4 linked regions of the Arabidopsis thaliana genome follow. Each later gene encodes a partner of the first gene's protein in a complex. Each region holds a gene or a part of one and is shown in the gene's direction. Other genes may lie near its edges.

Region 1 (4,725 bases):
ATTGGTTTTGTAATCTTGTGGTTTGGTTATGGGTTTAGGTGGGGAAGGGTCTGTCTATAGTCGACAAAGCTCAGAAATTGGCCTTTCAGCATTGGATTGAAGCTGTAATTCCTTTCTTCCACAAATTTCAATATTTGTTTGTGTTATATTCTGATTAAATGTAAAAAGAAGACTAATAATATGAAAATTTGAAAATCAGATTGATCCTAGACACCGGTATGGACACAACCTGCATAAATACTATGAAGAATGGTGTAAAGCTGATGCTGGTCAGCCATTCTTTTACTGGTATGCTTAAAATCTTAGGTTCATTTAGTTAGTGTTTTCTTGTAGCTCAAGAATCTTTTTTAGGTGATAATTCTTATCTATAACTTTGTGATATATCCGGGTTTTTTTTTTTTGGCAGGTTGGATGTTGGAGGAGGGATAGATTTGGATCTTAACGAATGTCCGAGGTCAAAGCTTAAGCAGCAATGCATTAGATATCTTGGACCTGTATGTGCCATTTTTTCCTCTCTTATGTCAATATTGGTTTTACTTGTTTTTGGGATTTCTCTCATATAAGCCTTTTCTGGTATCAGCAAGAGAGGGAAGAGTATGAGTATGTGATCATAGAAGGGAAGATTGTTCACAAGTTAACTGGAAAGTTCTTACACACAATGCATGGATCGGAAGGAACAAAATGGATCTTTGTTATGAGTACTTTCAAGAAACTCTATGCCGGTCTGGTAAGTTAAAACCGTTATATCTTTCTATTGGTGATGAATTGATATTAGTATTGAAAAAGATTCTAATGGTTCTTTTCTTTGTTTATGTTTACTTCAGAAAAAGAAAGGAAGGTTCCATCACTCAAGCTTTTTGGCTGGAGGAGCTACATTAGCTGCTGGGAGGGTGATTGTTGACAATGGAGTTCTCAAGGTAACTTACTAAGGCCACGTCCTTTTCTTAGAGTGGTTGAGATACATGTTCATTCATATCAACTTTTTTATTATGTCTGCCTTCTGTGATTTCTCTGTTTGATCGTTCTGTTTTCGGTTTAATCTCAGACAATCTCTGCATATAGCGGACATTACAGGCCGTCAGACGATAGTCTCGACACATTTCTCGGGTTTCTCAGAGAGAACGCAGTGAACCTAGACAATGTTGAGGTAATGCCCTTGTTCTAATCTTGGCTGGTGAATGATATCATTAACTAGAGTTTGGTTGTTTAGAAAAAGAGACTACTTGAGAGCTAATATATCTATGTATGTGTAGGTGCATAAAGCTAGTGAAGATTCTGACAGCTACGATGATTATGTTAAATCCAACGGAGGATCTGAACCGGAACCGTTAAAGAAAGAGGACACAACATTCCAAGCAGAGACTGAAACAGATGAGAACGGTAACGGAACAGTGGGAACACTTGAGGAGGCAAAACGGAGTAGCTACCAGAGAACACTCTCAGGTGGACTTGGGAGTCCAAAAGCTAACGTGCCGCAGAAATCTATGCTACTAAGGATAAACTCAAAGAAACAGTCAAGATCATTACAATTGGGACATCAGTTGTCACTGAAATGGTCGACAGGAGTTGGTCCAAGAATCGGTTGTGCAGCTGATTATCCGGTTCAGCTCAGAACACAGGCTTTGGAGTTTGTTAACTTGTCTCCTAAATACCGGAGTAGCAGACTTTCTCCGACCGGGAAGCTTGATGTCTGATCATATGTTCCGTACTTCCTTATGTAGTAGTAAATGAGAATCTTTCTTCTGTAACTAATGTGTGAGTTCTCTATCTAAGGTTTTTGTTGTCATCTTTTCACATGGATGATTGTGAATCAGAAGGAAGAGAATGAGAGATGTGTTAAAAGCTATTTTCACTGATAATGAAGAGAATGGTTACAGTATTTAGTCAATCGCTTACTCATTTTACAAATTTCATTAGAAAATCCATAGCTAAAAAATCTTTAAGTAAGGATGTAACTTATCTAATTTGATGGAGATAAAAAGTTACATAAGGAATCAAAATTTGTTACAAAAGCCATCATCTGTTATATCTTGTGACATCAAATCAAGAGTAAAGTATCAGAAAATGTTGTTCCTTCTCCTTACTATTGTTTTTTCATATGAAATAAATGATTTACTTCATATATTTATTAAAAATGAATTTTCAGTGTTTTCAATTAATTACATCAAAATGATATTCTTAAGAACAATTAAGAATGTGGAAAAGGCCCAATAAGCCCAAATTAAATCCAGTAAATGGGCCCCCATTATAATATTTTTCACTAAACCTTATGGGCAAACAAACAAGCAGAGAGAAAGAGAGATCGAGATCGGCGTGAATGGATTATCAGCAAAAGCCGCCGCAGTCTTCTGACCCTTCGCCGTCACCGCCTGACCGTCCACCGGGAATCAGATCACCGGAGACCCCCTCGAACAATCAGAATAATGACATAGAGGACATTATGGCTTGCGTCACAGCCTTGGAAGCTGCTCTGTTACCATGTTTGCCGGCGAGAGAGCTTCAGGCCATCGATCGCTCTCCTCACCCTTCTCATCAAAGTCAGTCCCTTTTCTACTCTCCAATTTCACCATTCTAGGGTTTTAGTTTGAATGATAGTTTGGAAGTTGTGTTTGTTTTTGTGCTTAACTTATGATCTCAGTGAATTTTGTGCTTAGAATTCAGTTGAAACCGAAGCTTTGATTCCATATTCGATGTTCTAGCTTAATTCCCCTCATTGAACTGCTGCAGTTGATGTGGAGCGGCACGCCAGAGATTTCATGGAAGCTGCGAAAAAGCTTCAGCTTTACTTCATGGGACTAAAGCGAGAAGATCGCGCGCCCTCGAGAGCTGAAAGCCTTAAGAAGGTGTGGTTTGATTTACCAATGTGAAAACTCCAAACACATATTGTCTTACCAGTTTCTGCTCTCTTCTGTTCTGTTCTTAACAGGATATTGCAGTAATGGAGGAAGAGCTTAAGACAAAAGATGAGCTTATAAAGAAGCACATGAGGCTTTTCCAAGAGTCGCAGAAGCTTGTGAAAGAACAGATTGAGAAACACAGAGATGAGCTGGAGAAAGTTTAACAATCTCTCAATCAAAGTTTATTGTTTTTCTTCTTATGGATCTTAAGTTAGTTTCAACAGTAAATAATGTAACACTCATTATTCATCCAGTTATGTCTATTTTACATTGTAAGAGTAATATGCAGACAAAAAGGAGATTCCATCTGCAAATCCACATTTCTTACAAATAGTGCAGGTACACTTATTTCTGTTTGTGGCTTTTTTCTTTTCTCTAGAGTTGTATCAAGTCCATTGATTCATTTACATGGAAACTTAAAGCTACTCATAGAAAGAGAGAGAGTCTCTTGGCTTGTGTTGATAACTTCACTCATATATCCATATGGTGACCACTTGTGTTGGGTGGTTGACTTTCCAATGGCATGTACTGTGCCATGATCCCTCTAATTTCCGCATCCATGTAACTCTGCATAATTTCAATTGTTACTTAGCATCTCTATCTAGACCGCAAAATCTTCCTATGTTTTAATATGATAACAAGACCAGAGTAAAGAACATCGTATACCCTGATTCTGTATTTGTAGACTGCATATCCAGAAAGACCTGCAACACCCACCCCGATTATAAGGATCCACAAAAAGCTCCAGCTGAGTTTTGTGGTTCCAACTTTGCCTGAACCTACACATTCACCAGATTCAAAAGCAGAAAGTCTGATTAATGACTCCAAATTAAGTATGGGGCTAGGAGGAAGGAAGATCTATTTCTTTTACCTATGCAAGTGTCGTGCTCACGCATGTAAAGCAAACCGTTGCTGCAGCTGCATTCATAACTTCCCCAAGTGTTTTTACATTTACACTCTGGGCACTGGCACACCGTTTTTTCTTTGCACTCGTCCACATCTAACACATTCAATCAAAAGAATATGATTATGAATTTGAATTTGACGTTTAACAATGATCTCACTTCTTTGATTGAGTACAATAAAAAATTCCACTGATAATTGTGTATCTGCACTAAATATTCTAGACCGACATGCATGCATATAAACAATAGGCTAATAGCATGTTACTAGTGATGCCTACTAAATAAATCGACATAGAGCTCTTTATATATGCAAGTAGACCACATGCATATATTTTGTAAATAATACTTAGCAAGTACCTTCACAGTTCTTCACTCCATCGCCCTTGAACCCAAGTGGGCATTTGCAATCCTTTGAATGATCATCCTGAAAAATCCATTTCAAGAACGAAAGAAGTTTTATTTTAGGTTAAGAAGATGATTGTTCAAACACATTGACATAGAAGCGAAATACTTACTACGCAAGCAGAGTAAGTGAAGCCACCTCGGGATTCTCTCCAGCATCCTCCATTGTTGATACCACAATGCAAAGCTCCAGAGGCTGCCAAGTGAAATAACATATGGATACAGAAAATGCACATTAACAAAGATTATAGTAAGACAACTTATGATATACGCAAAGGGGAAAATTCAGTAGAACTGCATAAAAAACATTAGAATGTTTCCACTCAGTCACATCAACGAATTTCTTCAAGTGTAAACTTTTTCAAAGTAAAATTTAATCAATGATTGTGACAATTTTATTTATCAATCTTGATATTATACTCGCAGGTGGTACAAATCAACAAATAGACCATCTAAGTTGATTCCAAGAAAATATCGACAAGGGACAAATCAGAGTATTGTTTGACTACCAGTAACAAATA
Region 2 (6,593 bases), on another chromosome or scaffold:
ACCACATAGAACACATAAGTTACAATCACGGCATATAACGTACGATATAGTGTATATCATCAGTGTAAGAAAAAAAGTAAATAAATATGTTTTTTGTGTTTGCACAAATGAGTTTTATTCAGACAAAAATTCACAAAAACTTGTAAAAGCAAAAATTTATCTATTGTGCAATGGATTAGGACCTGTGAAGACCCTTCTCTTGCCATCTTCAAAAACATCTTCACCACCACCTTCATAATTAGTATATTTTGATCCTCTTGATGACGCAGCATTGGAGTCAAGATCATGAAGCTTTGGATCCAAATTTCCAGATTTCTTCAAGCTTCCATGAGTTGAGTGATGATGTATATTAGGAGAAGACGATGAAGCTTTAGCGTAAAGAAACAGAAACAAAAGAAGAAGAAGGATGATCAAGGCAACTGTAGTGATGTGTTTCCTAGATTTTCTTCTAGAGTAGTAATTTCCCATCTCTTAGGAATCTTCAAGATATGAAGAGTTTCTCTATAAGGTATAGATTATATATTTAGAATCGATTTTTGCAAGTATAAAAGATCTGATCAAGATCTCTTAAATAAATTCTCTCTCAAAGTCTGTAAGAATGAGAAGAGAGGAATGAAAGTGATGGAAGAAAAAGCTATGGGGCTTTTAACCTATGACTTCCTCTAAAAGTTTGTTGCTCTCCCTTTCTTATTCTCCACCACTTTCTACAAATAAAGAGAAGAGAAACTAGATAGAGGTTTGTAAATATATATATCATTAATTTTTAACGAAAGTTTTTTTTGTGTGTTGAATCATTTCCAAAGGTCTTAGCTGGGATTACTAGGTCAAGTGGTAGTAATTAGTGTGGTTAATAATATACTTATAGTGGTTAGTTTTAGAGAGTAATGAGGGTGTGATAATAAAGCATATAGAGGAAGGTAATTATGTGAAGGGGGTCAAAAGTAGAAAGAAATAGAAAAGAGAGAAGAAGGGGCCAAAAAGGGAATTGGAGTGATGATTCTAAGACTTAGCTTTCTTTGGGGAAAATGATGTTGTCTTCACTCCCTTTTTCTTCACCCACATTTACACTCACTCACACACATGAAAAAATCCACTTACCACTTGAATCTTCTTCCTCTCCATTTTATATAAATGTTGTATATCTATATTTGCTTCTCGTTTTTTAGTCTTTCTAAGATTACTTTTTTTTTTTTAATTTTACTTTATTATGAGTTAAGAAAGAGAATAAAGAAAACAGTATCACAAGAACTAAATTACATACATGATACATATATGGATATGATTCTCCAATATGCATCTTCTACCTTCGATAAACGTATTTACAACTTGTGCAACAAATGTTTTTAAGAAATCAAGCTGAAAGTTTATAGAAGAAAAAACAAAGACTTACGTCCAATATTTGTCAAGAAACACCATATGTGATATGTACCTCAATATATCCTCATCAGTCATCACGTTTTTATATATTATATTCCCATTTATTTTACAGCAGACAAATCATCATTTACATAGTAGAGAGCAGGTATACAAACTCAAATCCCCAAAAATACCATTATTCCATTTTGTTCTCGTCAAGCACTTTGTCTCTGATGTTATATCAGCAAATATACACGTATGTATTCATCGTATGTTTCATCTTAAATTGTAGAAGATATTGTTAGGCATGTCTCGATCGGATTAGACCTGTCCGACCAACCCAAAACACTGAAAACTTACATTATTTATGTTTTGATAATTTTCGGTCTTATAATGGTTTTTTAGAATAACAATTCATGTTTTTCACTCAAGTAAATAAAAAATATAGAAAGAGATAACAATCTAAATCGGATATAAATAGTCGTGGATATTTTTGTTTGGATAAGAGTACCACCGGTTAAAGAGAGATTCATTACTCGGTTCGAATACGGTTTAGCTAATGGAAGATCCTTGATTTGTCTGGTTAAGTGGGCCGTGTTGAAGGAGCGCGTGAAGCCCACGCGGAGCCCTTGAATAATAATAAAAAAAGGCTGACTGTAATTTGTTGATTATATTGAGAGAGAAGCCAACGGAAGAAAACAGAGAATAATTCCTCTCTCATTGGTCATCAGACACAAAAGACTCTCAAACCCTAACTAGTCTCGCTTTTTCGCTCTCTCGAACCTTCTTCGATCTCTGTCCTTTCTCGATCACTTGCTAAAATCAAAATTTTAGGCGGGAATTCGATACCCAAGCCCAAGACCCAAACACTTCCCCCCTCACGTTTCGCTGCTTTCGTTAGCTAGCTTTCTCAAACGAGATCTGGGCTTGTCGAAAGAAACGTGTATGTTGATTGTTTCGATTCTTTCTCCTACCAATTGAATCTGAGATTTTGGTTTTGCTATTGGGCTCTGTCTTGTTTCGTTTTCGAATTCCAAATTCCTCAATTTCGAATTTCTCTTCTGCTTGAAGCTTTTTTATCGAGTCTAATCTTCGTTTCTAGTGATTACTTCGCTTGTCTGATTTTTTTTTTGTTAGCTTCATTCCTAAATAGAACAAATTGATGAAACTTTCTTGTTGACTAGATCCAAAATGTATGGACTTGGTATCTAATTTTACTTTTACAAACTTCCGAAAACTTTCTAGGGTTTTGTTTCTGATGCTAGTTTCATTTTTTTTGAGCTTGGAGCAGAAAAGTTGAGAATTGATAGCATCTAATGCTAAATTAGATTTTCTTACTTCTTAGTTTTGGTCACTATGAAATATGAGCTGGTGCTTAGTTATAACTTTTGTATTGTTTGTGCTACAGAATTGTTAGTTTAGATAGTATCGAAGCTGAATTTGCTTTCTGTAGTAGTATTATTTCCTTATCACTCTATGCTTTTTCTGATTTTTGTTTCCTTGTGTAGGATATATATGCAGTGAGCCAGTGATCATGCAAAAGAAATTCAGAGTGCGATAGAGAAGATGGAGCCTGAACGTTTAAAATTTGGAGGTACATTGGTTTCGAATTTGGAGCTTCTTCAGTTCGTGAAGTTATTTTTTTTGTAGCTCGTTGTCCTTTGTTTTCCCCTTTGGCTCACCTTGAGGTCAATGTGTTGTTTGTTTCAAGTGCAGGTCCAAGAGAGTTGTGCGGTGCTGCGGATCTTATATCTCAATTCAAACTAGTGCAACACCATGAATTCTTTTGCAAGAAATCTCTTCCTGTTTCTTTATCAGATTCCCATTATCTTCATAATGTGGTTGGGGACACAGAGATCAGAAAAGGAGAAGGAATGCAATTAGATCAGCTTATTGAGAGCATATCACAGAGCCGGGAGACTAATATTCGCATCCAGCCTTTTGATATAGATGAGCTTCAGGAGTCTTTCCAACTAAATGATATGACTCCTGTTGAATTACCCCCAGTAAGAATCTGATCTTTCTCACTCTCTCTTGGTGTTTTGAGTTTTAAATGTCCTTCTTTTCATAAGAGTAACAGTATTTGCCATTACATTGAACTTAAAAACTGGCTCAGTAATGAATGTCCTATTTCCTGTAACATCAAGTTCTTTGGTTAATTGAGAATCTTTCCCTAGTAATGTGAATTACATCTGGGTGTCCTATGGAGATGATTGACCTTGGTACTATTCTTCTTTCAGGCAGAGAAGGGAGCTCCTACAATTCCGTCTAAGTCAAAAAGTGAGTCGAAAGATAGGGACAGGAAACATAAGAAACACAAGGACAGGGATAAAGACAAAGATAGAGAGCATAAGAAGCACAAGCACAAACATAAAGATAGAAGCAAAGATAAAGATAAAGACAAGGACCGAGACAGAAAGAAGGACAAAAATGGCCACCATGATTCGGGTGATCATTCTAAGAAACATCATGATAAGGTAAAGAACATGTCTGTTTGTTGAAGGTGTCTGTCTTTCCAAAGAAGAATAGCTTAATGGAAAGTTTTGTATTTGTTGCTCTTGAGTTAGGCTGCTTTTTTGACCTGCTTGGCATGAAATTAGCAGATCTAGAGACTGCTCTAGAACATTTTATTGAGTTTTTATGGAGCCTTTTCACTTATATTTCAGAAAAGGAAACACGATGGAGATGAAGATCTTAATGACGTTCAGAGGCACAAAAAAAACAAGGTAATGGTAATGAAGTGGGGCCTCAAATTTTTCTCGTTCTTCATTAACACTCAACATGAAATTTCCACCATAATGTTTTTTTTGCACAAAGGTGCTAGAGAACTAGTAATATGTCTTTGATAAATTGTATTGATTCAGCTCTTGATTGAACCTGTTGCAGCATAAAAGCTCAAAGCTTGATGAGGTGGGTGCAATAAGGGTTGCTGGCTAAAAAAGTTGTAGACATTCCAATTTTGTATTCTGCACTCGAGTAGGTGTCATGGAGACTTTAGAAGCACTTTTCAACTCACTGTAGACAGCTTATTAGGTAAGCATCTGTGTACTGTCCTGTCTCTTTTGTACAATTTTTTCGGTGTTCTTGGTATTCCGGGATCCTTCATAGAACATATACATCTGTTATAGTCCAGATACTATACTTTAGGGGAACTGAACCCATAATATTTTTAGGCAGATACTTGAGTTTTGTGTTGTATTCTTTAAGTTACTGAAATCCAAATAACGCAACATTTGCAAGGGAACATTGTATGTGTCTCTGTGCGACTTCTGTATTGGTATTGGATTCTTTTCTGGTCTTAAGAAAGTTGCCGTGATACATAACTAATGAAAATCGGGTAACCTGTCGAAAGAACATATCAAAGATAGGATGTGTTTCTAAATAGAACAGTCTCAGCTAACACAAATCATTGCTTACATTTTTGTTACTTTCTTATATTTTCAAGTTGTGTTGAACAAAATGATTGGCTTTGTAGGTTAAAAGCCCAAACTGGTGAATTCATTCCTTGAAGAAGAAAGGGGAAATTTGTGAAATGAAGAAGAAGAATTTAGTATCATAATTGATTTGGTGTCAGATTTGTAACATTTTTCTTGGGGTGTTCTATTCCATCTCTTTTCTGTCTATATACTCAATACAACACAAATCGTTACTATTCATGTATAATAATTTACTTACCAATTGATGTTGTTGAAAAAGTAACTGTCAAATCCACTTATTTACTTTTACTTGAGTGTCACAATGTCTATCTGTCTGCGACTATGCCTGTAAAAATTGATCAAATATCTGAACTATTTTCTCAAAAATATGTCGGATTATATGATTACATCTGTCGAAATCTCAAACACAAATTGTAACACTAGAAGCCATCCCCGAGAGTTCTCCATCATTTACTCTTTTCCATTCACCATCTATCATAAGGCAGCTTCTACTTTCCTCTTCATCATTCCACATCAGATTCTCTTCTGCTACAGTTTCAGTTTCCTCATATGCATGTTCTATTTCCATCTCAGCTTCTTCCTCGTATGATTCCAATGTCACATCATTTGATTCAGAATCTCCTGCACTCTTCCTTGCTCGCTTGCATGGCGATTTCTCCAATTGATTTCTATTACACTCAGCTCCTCTCTTCGCATTGTTGTTACCTTGTGCTTGTTTTGAGATGCTCTTAGCATTCTGATTGTCAAGAAGAGGTAAACGTCCAGAAGATCCAATGATCCGAGGCAACATACCAATTGGACAAGGGCTCCATGTTTTTGCCTTTCTCCATCTGTTACCGGTTTTGTCTGTGTCAATACCTTTCTTCTTTGAGAGTTGAAGTTTGACGAACTCAAGTCTCTTGCCTGCATTACCGAGATTCTTCTCTTGCTCAAGGAGCGTTGTACTAGCTGTTACAAGAGTAGAACTCTGTTTCAATGGAACAATTGCAGAGCTTTTATGCATAAGAGGAAGTTTTATGAGCTTCTCCTTTAAGACACGGCCTCCCACAATCTCTGCGAGTAGAAATGCTGATTTCAAAACCAGCTCATATCCTAAGGCTCCCAAGACAAGACATCTACGTATAAGTTCCATAAGGAAAATGCTTGGAGGTTTCACTTCTAGAGAACTGTTTCTCTGAAAATGCTTTGATCCATTGAGAAGACTCACAAGCCATGCAAACAAGAAAGGGACCTGCTCAACTTGAGAAACCTCTTCCACTGGCTTTTCTGTAAGATGCAAATTTAGATACAATTCATACATGTTAGAAACGATCTGAAAACAATTTAAAGTTTCAACTGAGGATCCTTAAGAGAAAAAGCATTTAGGATAAACCAATAGTTACCGGTTTCATGTCTTCTCCGTTCATTATTTTGGATCATATCAAGGACTTCCTTGAGTAGAGTCAAAAGTAACTCAGGTTCTCTATTTGAGAGTTCCATTATTACAGGTTTCCATTCATCTAGAAAGACCCTGAAATCTTGCCCAGCCTTATTCTGAAGATCTGTCGACTTTGAAGAATCCAAGGCCTTGAGTAAGAATTCAAGGAGCACAGATGAAATTTCTGCGGAGAAAGAAGGGTATAACTCAACAAGGCTGCTTACAATCTTCCTTATCCTTTTATTAGAACCTGAAAATCACAAAAATAACCTTATATGACCTTACGAATTAACAGATATGCGAAGTTAAACACGAAAATGCAACCCAAAATTATTTCCATCTCTAAAGCTGGAAAAATAATCTAGTGCAGCCAAAACCAATGT
Region 3 (5,933 bases), on another chromosome or scaffold:
TTTAGATGCATCTAATGATTAGTTCTTTTTTCTTAACCAGGTGAGCCGAAAGCTATACCGTGGACACAACTATCACCAATTCGTAGTGCTTGTGATGGATGGGCTCATCTTGATGTCCAAGTGGGTCACACATATTGTTGGCCTACAAATCTTGGATGGGTAATGGGACCAACTCTTATGTTCTCCTGCTTTCTAACTGGTGCAACTCTCGCTCTCTACAGCGGGTCTCCCCTTGGCCGCGGTTTTGGAAAGTTTGTTCAGGCAAGACATCTCCATTGTTGTCTCCTTTTCAATTTTAGTAAGGTTCGATAAATCCTCACTTATTTGTGCTTGATATTACTTCAGGATGCTGGAGTTACAGTTCTTGGTACTGTTCCAAGCTTGGTGAAAACTTGGAAGAGAACAAACTGTATGGAAGGGCTTAATTGGACAAAGATTAAGTAAGGAGCAACAAACCTTGTTTTGTTTTCGGGTTTATACGAGAAATTTTAACTTAGAAGCTGTTGTGTTTTGTTAGGTTTTTCGCCACTACAGGAGAAGCTTCCAATGTTGACGATGTTCTCTGGCTTTCTTCTAAAGCTGATTACAAACCTGTGATCGAATGCTGTGGAGGCACGGAACTTGCTTCGTCATACATCATAGGAAGCCCTCTTCAACCGCAGGCTTTTGGAGCGTTTAGCACACCATCCATGACAACTAGAATCATCATCTTCGATGAAAATGGCGTCCCATATGTGACAAACTGAAACTTTAGACATTTGGAGTATTTTCTTAGAATATCCAGAGATTGATGTAGACTGGTTTTTGCAGCCGGATGATCAACCATGTACTGGAGAAGTCGGTTTGTTCCCCCAGCACCTTGGGGCCACGGATAGACTTCTGAATGCAAATCACGACGAGGTTTACTTCAAGGGAATGCCCATGTATAAGGAAACAGTGAGTAGTTTTAGAACTTCTATATTTACATCTAAACAAAATTGCAAACTTACGTCAGTTAAACGATTCCTCTGTTCTGTTGCGTTCTGCAGCGACTTAGAAGACACGGTGACATTGTGAAGCGAACTGTTGGAGGATATTACAATGTTCAAGGTAGAGCTGATGATACCATGAACCTTGGAGGCATTAAGGTACTACATACATTGTATGTCTATATACCCAACTTCGATTAGAGTTGGAACTTTTCTCAAGTTTTCATCTTTTGTTTATCTGTTATAACGCAGACGAGTTCTATTGAGATCGAACGTGTGTGTGATCAAGCTGATGAGTGCATCTCTGAGACAGCTGCAGTCACCTTAACACCACCTAACGGTGGTCCAGAGTTGCTGGTCATATTCGCAGTCTTGAAAGAAGGGTTCAAGCAACAGAGTGGAGAAGAGCTAAAGATGAAATTTTCAAGAACCATTCAAAAAGATCTTAATCCTCTCTTCAAGGTAATCAATATCTTTGATGAGTTTTTCTATAAATTCAAAGTTATTATAAGATTTTTTGTGTGCTTAAAAATGGATTTTGCAAAAATATTGCAGGTGAGTTTTGTGAAGATTGTGCCGGAGTTTCCAAGAACAGCTTCTAGCAAGCTACTGAGAAGAGTCTTGAGAGATCAGATTAAGCAAGAACTACTATCCTTACGAAGTCGAATATAAAGCCTTGATCTTAAGTTTAACTAGAATAAAATAAGATCTGCTGAGTAGTAGTTGATCTACACATGATTGGGTACTGCTCGGTCCAAATAAGAAAACCGATTAAATCAAATCTACCGGTCCTTGAATTCTCTAGCCTGATTCACATTTACATGACTAAACACTTTGACTTTGTTATGTTTGTGTTTGTGTTTGGTGTATATATTTCATATCAGATTATAATCTTAATTTTCCTCAAGATTATCTTTTGTTTAAATTTGTAAAAATATTTCGGACGATACTCATACATCCCATAAGGCTTTGAGACATCTGAATAGTATCACCACGAATGACCTATGGAACCAGAAGACAACTAGCCGCACCCAACGATACAAAGATAGCGTTAAGATCATTCGAGGTCTAGCTATATCGTGGTATACAAAATCTAGAAAATATAAAGTAAAACCATAGCATTGTTTGGTTCATTTGATTGATGCAAGTCAAACAAACTCGAAAGAATGAGATCTTAATACCAAAACTTCAAAAACACTTGATATTAAACACCTTATTTGGAGGAAACTCTTTTATGATGCTTGTGGTTGGCGGTTTTTTTTTTTGAACCAGAGTGTTGTGAAAATAATGAATTGGGCCTGACTAAAACAAATTGGGCCACAGAAAAAAAAAGAATTAGTAAGAGCAACAAAAAAAAAAGAACCCTAAAGAGCGCGTTTGGATCTGGTTTTATGAAAACCACGAGAGATTTCGTGTTGAGATGATTATGATGTATTGAAGAGTTTTGATCAAAAGAGAGATATAAACCTCGCAACATCAAGAGAAGATCGAGCTAGAAATTGACAACGTCTTCCAATTCCGAGCGCTTCAAGACGATGATTTTGGGGTTATAGCCTATAATTTGAAGAAAAAAAAGGATTGAACTTGTTGTATCTATCCCCAAGTGATGTGGACTAATGTTTTCAGAATTGTAAGTCTTATTCTATCATCTTTTTCCCATTGTGTGTGAAAATTGACTTATTGGTAATACATGATGATTTTTCTTCTACAGGGTGGTCTACATAATGTTTCTTGGTTTCAGTTTCTTCCAAGTGAAACTGAGCTGAATCCTGGCTTTGATAGAAGGTTAAAGCTTTAAGCTTTTTCAATGGGTTGTTTTAGTTTTTCCTTATTGACATTGTACTAATTAGTCTGGTCACTCTGGAGTTTTTTTTTCAGTTCAAGAGCTGAGCAGAATGAAGTTGCAACATATCTTGTACTTTCCTCTCATCTACGGTTGCAGAAGGAAGGGTTTCTTACCACTTGGACCAATTCTTTTGTTGGACCTTGGGATCCATCTCAAGGTTTATACAACCCTGGTAATGCTAAATCTCAATCTGGTACTTTTAAATTTTGTAACTTTATTTACAGTTGTATCTAACCATCATTCCTCGCTGCTGCTCAGATGAAAAGATTAAGCTTTGGCTTTTTCTACCTGGGCGTCATTCATCAATATCTGATAAAGCTCAGGCTGCTGTGTCAAAGCTTAGAGGTATATTCTCCTTATGATTTATTTTCTTCATCGTATTTTGTCGCCTCAATAGATTCAAACATATTGTCTCTATTCTGATTATGACTGTTTAGTGAACATGCCTGTGGTCTATGGTTATCTTGGTATACTTGTCCTTACTTTTCTTTTTCTCCTGTTGAAAGTTGTTGCGTCAGGAATTTGGGTAGCACCTGGGGACTCTGAAGAGATATCAGTTGCCTTTTCACAGTCTTTACGTAATTGCATCGAAAGGTTAGTTTTTTATTATCTGCAGACATAATGGTTGGATTAAGGAAATAATGGATTAGAGTATCATATTAACTTGTTTGATATCGCCACAGAGCATTATCTGGAATTTCCTACATGAGATTTGGAGATGTGTTTTCAAAATTCAGCCCTCAAAGCGAAGAATATTTGAGGTATCTGCAACCTCTTACCAATATAAGCGAGACCATGCGTTATAATCTCTGATGGTTTATTAGCAAATATATCGTCTTTTTTCTCTATGGCTTTTCGATTATGTATTATCCTATAGCTTTCATTAAATAGGGTCTGTGAGACCTAGGTTTCCTGAGTGTAATTCTTAGAATCCAAAGAATTCTATGATTAGGTCTGTGGCTCGCTAATGCTCTGTGGCTCGCTAATGCTCTGTGGATATTTATGTAGGAGGGGACAGCCTACTGTTGAATTCATCTTTGCTGCTACCGAAGAGGCAGTTTTTGTCCATGTCATTATATCTGCCAAGTCCGTAAAGCTTTTTGTTATACTGTTTCAGTTATGGTTTAGTGCTTCACATAGTTATTGAAACTAACTATAATATTTTATGCACGAAGGAATGTCCGCACACTTTCAAGTGGCGATGCTGAAAGAATGTTAAGGAGTTCTTTGAAAAACTCCAGTTATAGGCTTCCAGGTTAGTTATTTTTCCATCATCATTTGGATTGATAAATTATCCTACTTGTCTACGATTTTGATGGAACTAGTTCTAGATGTTTGTTGACCTCTTCTTGCTTTGTACTGTTAGAATACTGTATAGATTGAGAGCATTTTGAACTCAATTTTCAATGCATCCACTCCAAAAAGAAACCTAGTGTAGTCTAGTGCTACTGCTACCTAGCTTCATCAAGCAAAGATTTAACACCTCATTTTTTTGCATGTCACAAGAGCTTTTCGTAAATGTTTGGGATTGGCCAAGAGTGAGGATAATAGATTATGCTACATGTAATTCTATGAAGCCAAACTTTTTGAATTGATACCTGAAATGAAATCCGCCTTCTACACATGCTTAAAGAAAGATAAGAGCTTTTTATTTGATAGAAACACTTCTCACAGGCCTATGTTATTCCCACCAGTTATTGTTTCTCCTCATGGAATGCGGGGCAGCCTTACTGGATTCTGTCCCAATGACCTTGTCAAGCAAGTCTACTTCAGGTACATTTCATACCTTTGCTTTCGAATGCCAAGTCAACATTTTTTGTGAGTGCGTAGCCGTTAATCTGATTAATCCAATTTTCTCAACTAATACTTTTTTCTCACACAGTTCTGGAAACTTAAAAACTTCGACTGGATATGTTGGTCTCCCTTCTCATATTGGTCGTGGGTCCCGTCTGATAAATGGCAATCATTGCTACGTGGAAGTTACACTTGGTTGCTGCCAAAATAGAAATGACAACACAAGTCAAGCTAATTCGACCTTTGCAGTTAACTTGCCCCATAACCAGTGTCCTGAACCTTCAGTTGGGAGTAAAGATCACCGTAAAGGACAATCAGATCTTTCATCAGTTTGTGAAAAAAAGTTCATCTATCCAGCTGAGGCAGTGCTTGTACCAATCTTACAGTCGGCATTTGCGAAATTTTCTTTGAAAAGGTAAATTGACTAGGTGAGGTGGTTATTTAGAATTCATTGAGTACTTAACGGTAAGATCCAGATTGGCTATACATAAAATTTATTTCGTTTCTGTTGAATTCCATGTATGTATTAAAACAAATTGACTCTGTGTGATCGTAGTGGAAGTTTTAGTAATTGTTTCAGACCCATGTTAAATAGATGTAATAGTTGTGATCTTTCCTCAGCTTGGAGCTGATGCAAGGTGAAATCATACTTGCAGATTTTGGCTTCAAAACTGGATAGGCCCGTCACTAGCAGGCTCATCTTTGTTTATGCACTGGTGAGTCTTTTTCATCTATCTCGTCGACATTTGAAGATCAAAAGAAATCCACAAAACAGAGGTCTTGAAATGCCCAAACTGTTCTGAGAAACCGAATGTTTTGTAATCTTCATTATTTGAAGCACCATAGGAGTGAGAGCTGTGGCATTTCCGAGTTTTGTTCCAATGTTATACGTAACGATTTTGTTTTTCATTATAACAGTCTGTCCATGATCCCTGTATATGTGAACTTTATTTTATGCAGGGCTGGTGATTTTGACTGCCTTGGTGCGTCTGAAAATAAGAGTGATGGGTTTTATGAAAAAAATGGTTACAATAGCAGTGGTAGTAGCCGTAATAGCAGCATTAGTTCAACAAGTAGCGCTTCCAGCGGGAGCGGCTGGAGGATGACGTCAAGAACTGGTGATCTTGACGCTGATGCAGATTCTTTGACGTGTAGGCAATCTGGTCTTACTTGTAATGATGATCGCCTAAAAATGGTACGACTTTTATCTATGGAAGGGATGGAGTTTGCATGGTACTGATGAGGAAATTGAATTGTCGATTGTAGCACTAACATGCTTAATCAACATCATATAATGTAGTTTTCCTTATTTTATAATAATTCAC
Region 4 (5,050 bases), on another chromosome or scaffold:
GTTGGAACGACATAAAAAAAATGAAAGATTTTGTTCTAAAAATCAACGTACACTACACAAAACTCACTATCTAAAAACCAAATCAAAACAATATTTTTGAAGTATATGAAATGGTTTATTTTATTCTAAACTGTAATGGACCAAATCGAGAAGACTGACTTATTGAGCTGCAACACACGGTGGTCTTAGAAGACTGACTTGTGAGCTGCAAGACACGGTGGTCTTAGCGAGATTCTTCTTGTTCACCTTGTTGAAGATCTCAGTCAAGAGAGTGTTGAAAGAGTTCTCGACATTTGTGGAGTTTAGTGCTGAAGTCTCAAGGAAAAAAAGCCCTTCCTTCTCTGCAAATTCCTTGGCATCTTCCACAGGAACCGATCTCTGGTTCTCTAAATCCGTCTTGTTACCAATCAAGATGATGACAATGTTCTTATCCGCGTGCACTCGTAGTTCTTCCAACCACTGAGGAATGTGCTCAAAGCTTTCACGTATTGTCATATCGTAAACTAACATTGCACCAACAGCACCTTTGTAGTAGGCTTATGTAATAGCTCTGTGTCTACTCACAGCAAAAGAACAAGAATGTCACTAATCAAACCAACCACATTGCTATGTACAATGGAGAAAACATGCCATGCACAATGATTAGCCACTTGGATGTGAATGTGATCATCACTACATAATTTGATTCTTCAGGAGAATGCTATAACAACACATTACAATGTTGCCGAAGAACAAAATCGAACAATTCCAACACTAATGGTCCAACTTCTAAAAGAGTCGATTACTCTCTAGTCAAAATGAGGTCACTCTCAGGTACACACGAAGATCAAAATCGAAATTGAACAGCAACACTGTAACATCATCGAGTTCGAAGCAATATTTTATCCATTGTTAAATCAGAGAAGATAGAACTAAGATCGGAGAAGGATATAGTACCGTTTCTGGCCTGCGATGTCCCAGATCTGAGCTTTGATGTTCTTATCGTCAATAACGAGCGTTCGAGTATTGAAATCGACACCGAATTGTGGCTTTGGAATCCATACTGAATTCGTCTCTTGTGAACCGAGCTCGTAGCTGTGACTTCCCAACCGCTGAATCTCCGTTCAAAACAACCTTGAATACGTAGTCAACCTCTTCTTCAGCCATCTTCTTCTTCGCTCGCAGTCGGCGATCGAACGACGTCGATTTTCTCGCTGTTTTTACACTCTCCGGTGGACTGAGAGATTAAACTAATCGTAGGGTTAAAATGTAATCCTCTACGGTAGAGAGTACTAGAGTGTATGGTAGTCAAAGTCGTCATACGTGGATTTGATTAATGATTGCTACACGTGTATCGCATTGATAGGTTCTCTTGCTCGGATCACTAATACATAAACTTGGATACAACCCAAAGCTTGACCTATTTTTGTTGAACACCTTTTTGTTTTTATATTTTTCATCCTCTGAAACAAGTCCATAGACTCTTGTATTAATATATCCTGATGATATTTGGTTTTACATTTGCATCTTGTATCATTGTAAACAATTCATAAGCCTTCCCACAAAAGCATGCTTGGCATTTGACAATTGGCAATTCATAAATGATGCATTATAAGCATAAATATCAACTTGGATATTCAACTTGGCCCGTGTATTATGCTACCTCTACAAATTTGGTGAGGTAGGTTAAAATGAGGCCGGTTTGAGTTACCGGTATATTAGACGAGCATTAACATGATTACACACTTGAGGATATTATTGACGAATGAAGAAACTAAAATGGTTTAGTTAATGCAAAATTGAGGATTCATTCGTCTATTGAAATAGAGAAGAATTGTTTGAGGCTAAAATAAATATATTTACATTTTTCCTATTCTCCTCCAAACTTTTCGTAAACATGGTTATTTGACTTATTTTTGAACTTTTTATCTAATAATTTAAAGGATTGTGGTGATGTAGTGGCCACTTAATCTACACAACATCGCAATAATTTTGACAAAATTTTCTACATATTTCTTGTCAACAATTATAAGGAATTAACACATTCTACTTAGTAGACATTTACAGTAATCACAACCAAGATGAAATAACCATATATAAATATCATTTGCTATGTTCATAAACTTTATCGAAACTAGTTGACTTCTTAAAATGCCAACTAATTAGGTTAGGGTTCATGAACTTTTTAGCAAAGATAGCACAAACTAAATTCTATCTTCAACCTAACTAATGACGGTTTACTCCGGTTAACCGGTGGTTATGTTCTCATCATGCGGCCAACTAAGCTAATGGGCTATTTGGTGATCACTAATCAATGACCGAGATGCACTAGAGTTTTTATTATGATCGAGTTCCCAAAAAAGGGGCAACAAGAAAAAACGAAATGGCCTATACAGGGATCGAACCTGTGACCTTCGCGTTATTAGCACGACGCTCTAACCAACTGAGCTAATAGGCCATCTTGCTTTATCTACAGCTAACTACTATATAACAACTACACAAGTGATTCTAGTAACTAGCTAAAATTCTCCGGTGTTAAAAAATCTCAGATTCGCTCCCGAGGACGATTTAGGAAGCTTTCGTTAGTTTTTCCAATTTCGGATTTGGTCTTGTTGAGAATATATTTACGATTTTAATTGAGAGATTTTGTGATAGCTCAATGTCAATGGAGTGTGTGGTTCAAGGAATCATCGAGACACAGGTTCGTTTGTATTTTTTGATTGACGAACAAATCCCAAGTTTTTCGAGTTCATGGATCAGCTTTTAGCTTTCTTATGATGTCCAATTGATAAACCCTAGGCTTGAATTTTTATTAGAATTTGATTAGATTTTCTACTGGATTTTGCAGCATGTTGAAGCTCTTGAGATTCTTCTTCAAGGTCTTTGTGGTGTTCAACGCGAACGTTTAAGAGTTCATGAGTTATGCTTAAGAAGCGGCCCAAATCTTGGTAAAGCCAATTCCTTTTGTTAAATTCAGAAACTTGAAGCTTCCTATGAATCATACATGATTCACATTTGTGAAATCTTCACTTTTTCAGGAGTTGTGTCATCAGAAGTTAGGCTATTATGTGATCTTGATCAACCCGAACCCACATGGTACAGCTTCTTCTTGTTGTTGTTGTTGTTGTATATGTTCTTGTTTCATTCAAAGGAAGCTAATTTAAGAACCATAGGACGGTTAAACATGTTGGTGGTGCGATGAGAGGTGCAGGAGCTGATCAAATCTCTGTTTTGGTTAGAAATATGATTGAAAGTAAAGTAAGCAAGAATGCTTTGCGTATGTTCTATGCACTCGGTTACAAACTAGACCATGAGCTTCTCAAAGTCGGATTCGCCTTTCATTTCCAACGGACTGCGCACATAAGTGTTTCTGTATCTTCTGTTAATAAGATGCCTAAAGTTCATGCTATAGATGAGGCTGTTCCTGTAACACCTGGTATGCAGATTGTTGATGTAACTGCTCCTGCAACTTCTGAGAATTACAGTGAAGTCGCTGCTGCTGTTTCATCTTTCTGTGAATTTCTTGCTCCGTAAGTTCATCTGATATATTTTACAGCACCTGTGATAGTGTCTTTGATATAAGCTTCATCAGTGATATGATTCCTTGTGTTTTCAGGCTTGTTCACTTGTCGAAACCGTCTATCTCCACGGGGGTTGTGCCAACCGCTGCTGCGGCGGCTGCATCTCTTATGTCGGATGGAGGAGGTACTACATTGTAAGAAGTTTGAAGTTAAAAACAACTGTTCTTGTGTTCTCTCTTGTTAGATCTTTTGGTCCAATCTAGTCAATTTTCCAGATTACACAATGGTTGTGAAATCTTGTGAACCATTAGAGTTAAGTATTATTTAATGAGAATCAGTAAGGGATCTTTAATAAATATTCTTTATAAATCACAACTTGCATATGATCTTTGCTCTTCTCTCAACCTTTTGGTATTATGATGTTTCATTGTTGTCACTTGTCAGTAGATTGATAGTTTATGAAGCTTCGAACATGATTAAAATAATGTGAATGTCTTTGTGGAATTACATACTATTTTATTTATCATTCAATCACTAATAAATTCCAATTTGAAAGCCTATTAAAACCTAACATATTAAAAATTTGAACCACAAAAAAATGAATTCTAAAATTCTTCCATTTCCACAACAATAATCATCTTCCTCCACTTGCTTCTTCTTTTTTCAAGAGCCATTCTAAATATCACAAGCCAGAGTAGAAAAATGTATATGTATAGAGAGATTCATAATTTCAATGTCAAAATTTTCGTGTTTCTAATCATCTACTGGTGCTATTAGCAGTCTTGTTCTTGCTCATATCAGCAAGCTCTTCAATAAGTTTTTTCTCCTCTTTGCTCAATCTCTTAGGTATCTCCACTTGTACTCTCACCAACTGATCTCCTCTCATATTACTCTTGTTCAATACCGGAACTCCTTTTTTCGCCATCACAAGCGTCGTGCTAGGTTGTGTCCCAGCTGGAACTTTCAAATCTACTGTCCCATCCACTGTTGGTACTTTCAGTGTCGTCCCTAAAATCGCATCGATATACGATATCTTGCAAGTGTAGAGAATATTTGTATCGTCTCGTTTCAAAATCGGGTCTGGGATAACTTCTATAACAACAAACAGATCGCCTGGTGATCCGCCTCTCTTCCCGGCATTGCCTTCTCCTCTCACTCTCAACCGGCTACCTGAATCAACCCCGGCTGGTACTTTGAGACTTATCCGTTTTGTCTTCCTCACGCGTCCGTCTCCAGAGCAAGTACCACACGGCGTCGAGATCTCTCCAGTGCCATTACAGGACGAGCAAGTCATGACTTGTTGGAACACGCCCAGAGGAGTTCTAGCTGCTGAAACCACTTGGCCTTGTCCGCCACACGTGGTGCATTTGGTCGGTTTGGTTCCAGGTTTTGCACCTGAACCTTCACATGTCCCACAGCTCTCGAGCCGGGATATCTCTATTTCTTTCTCCATTCCGAAAACCGCTTCTTTGAAGTTTAAGATTAGCGTGTAATACTCGTCTTGACCATCCACAGCTCTGCTTCTTGAACCTCTACCCATCCCACCACCG

The links.
Region 2: AT3G52860 (region 1) and MED19A share a complex: the UniProt entries of both Arabidopsis thaliana proteins name them as parts of the mediator complex.
Region 3: AT3G52860 (region 1) and GCT share a complex: the UniProt entries of both Arabidopsis thaliana proteins name them as parts of the mediator complex.
Region 4: AT3G52860 (region 1) and AT2G22370 share a complex: the UniProt entries of both Arabidopsis thaliana proteins name them as parts of the mediator complex.

What each region holds. Positions count from the first base shown.
Region 1 is NC_003074.8:19,590,334-19,595,058, reverse strand, and holds AT3G52860 (mediator of RNA polymerase II transcription subunit-like protein), read left to right. Parts: upstream 1-2,290; 5' UTR 2,291-2,317; coding exon 2,318-2,537; exon of another isoform or gene 2,538-2,727; coding exon 2,728-2,843; intron 2,844-2,926; coding exon 2,927-3,061; 3' UTR 3,062-3,211; downstream 3,212-4,725. Other genes in the region: AT3G52870 (IQ calmodulin-binding motif family protein), read left to right, coding at 39-104, 200-288, 407-494, 581-727, 825-917, 1,046-1,147, 1,254-1,694; VSR1 (vacuolar sorting receptor homolog 1), read right to left, coding at 3,369-3,464, 3,564-3,676, 3,769-3,897, 4,160-4,226, 4,318-4,400. UniProt on the Arabidopsis thaliana protein: Component of the Mediator complex, a coactivator involved in the regulated transcription of nearly all RNA polymerase II-dependent genes.
Region 2 is NC_003076.8:3,951,615-3,958,207, reverse strand, and holds MED19A (mediator of RNA polymerase II transcription subunit 19a-like protein), read left to right. Parts: upstream 1-2,022; 5' UTR 2,023-2,299; intron 2,300-2,864; 5' UTR 2,865-2,922; coding exon 2,923-2,950; intron 2,951-3,072; coding exon 3,073-3,362; intron 3,363-3,596; coding exon 3,597-3,833; intron 3,834-4,022; coding exon 4,023-4,082; intron 4,083-4,242; coding exon 4,243-4,293; 3' UTR 4,294-4,389; intron 4,390-4,831; 3' UTR 4,832-5,068; downstream 5,069-6,593. Other genes in the region: AT5G12236 (uncharacterized protein), read right to left, coding at 1-60; CLE22 (CLAVATA3/ESR-RELATED 22), read right to left, coding at 157-468; AT5G12220 (las1-like family protein), read right to left, coding at 5,194-6,059, 6,176-6,460. UniProt on the Arabidopsis thaliana protein: Component of the Mediator complex, a coactivator involved in the regulated transcription of nearly all RNA polymerase II-dependent genes.
Region 3 is NC_003070.9:20,635,020-20,640,952, forward strand, and holds the start of GCT (RNA polymerase II transcription mediator), read left to right. Parts: upstream 1-2,360; 5' UTR 2,361-2,574; coding exon 2,575-2,598; intron 2,599-2,679; coding exon 2,680-2,753; intron 2,754-2,846; coding exon 2,847-2,986; intron 2,987-3,072; coding exon 3,073-3,159; intron 3,160-3,320; coding exon 3,321-3,408; intron 3,409-3,497; coding exon 3,498-3,575; intron 3,576-3,822; coding exon 3,823-3,900; intron 3,901-3,989; coding exon 3,990-4,069; intron 4,070-4,322; coding exon of another isoform or gene 4,323-4,377; intron 4,378-4,473; coding exon of another isoform or gene 4,474-4,508; coding exon 4,509-4,587; intron 4,588-4,696; coding exon 4,697-5,023; intron 5,024-5,264; coding exon 5,265-5,324; intron 5,325-5,568; coding exon 5,569-5,803; intron 5,804-5,933. Other genes in the region: AAE18 (acyl-activating enzyme 18), read left to right, coding at 41-261, 346-440, 518-734, 811-936, 1,029-1,127, 1,221-1,430, 1,524-1,640. UniProt on the Arabidopsis thaliana protein: Component of the Mediator complex, a coactivator involved in the regulated transcription of nearly all RNA polymerase II-dependent genes.
Region 4 is NC_003071.7:9,499,667-9,504,716, reverse strand, and holds AT2G22370 (mediator of RNA polymerase II transcription subunit), read left to right. Parts: upstream 1-2,506; 5' UTR 2,507-2,638; coding exon 2,639-2,680; intron 2,681-2,827; coding exon 2,828-2,927; intron 2,928-3,017; coding exon 3,018-3,075; intron 3,076-3,152; coding exon 3,153-3,509; intron 3,510-3,595; coding exon 3,596-3,698; 3' UTR 3,699-3,933; downstream 3,934-5,050. Other genes in the region: AT2G22360 (DNAJ heat shock family protein), read right to left, coding at 4,258-5,050. UniProt on the Arabidopsis thaliana protein: Component of the Mediator complex, a coactivator involved in the regulated transcription of nearly all RNA polymerase II-dependent genes.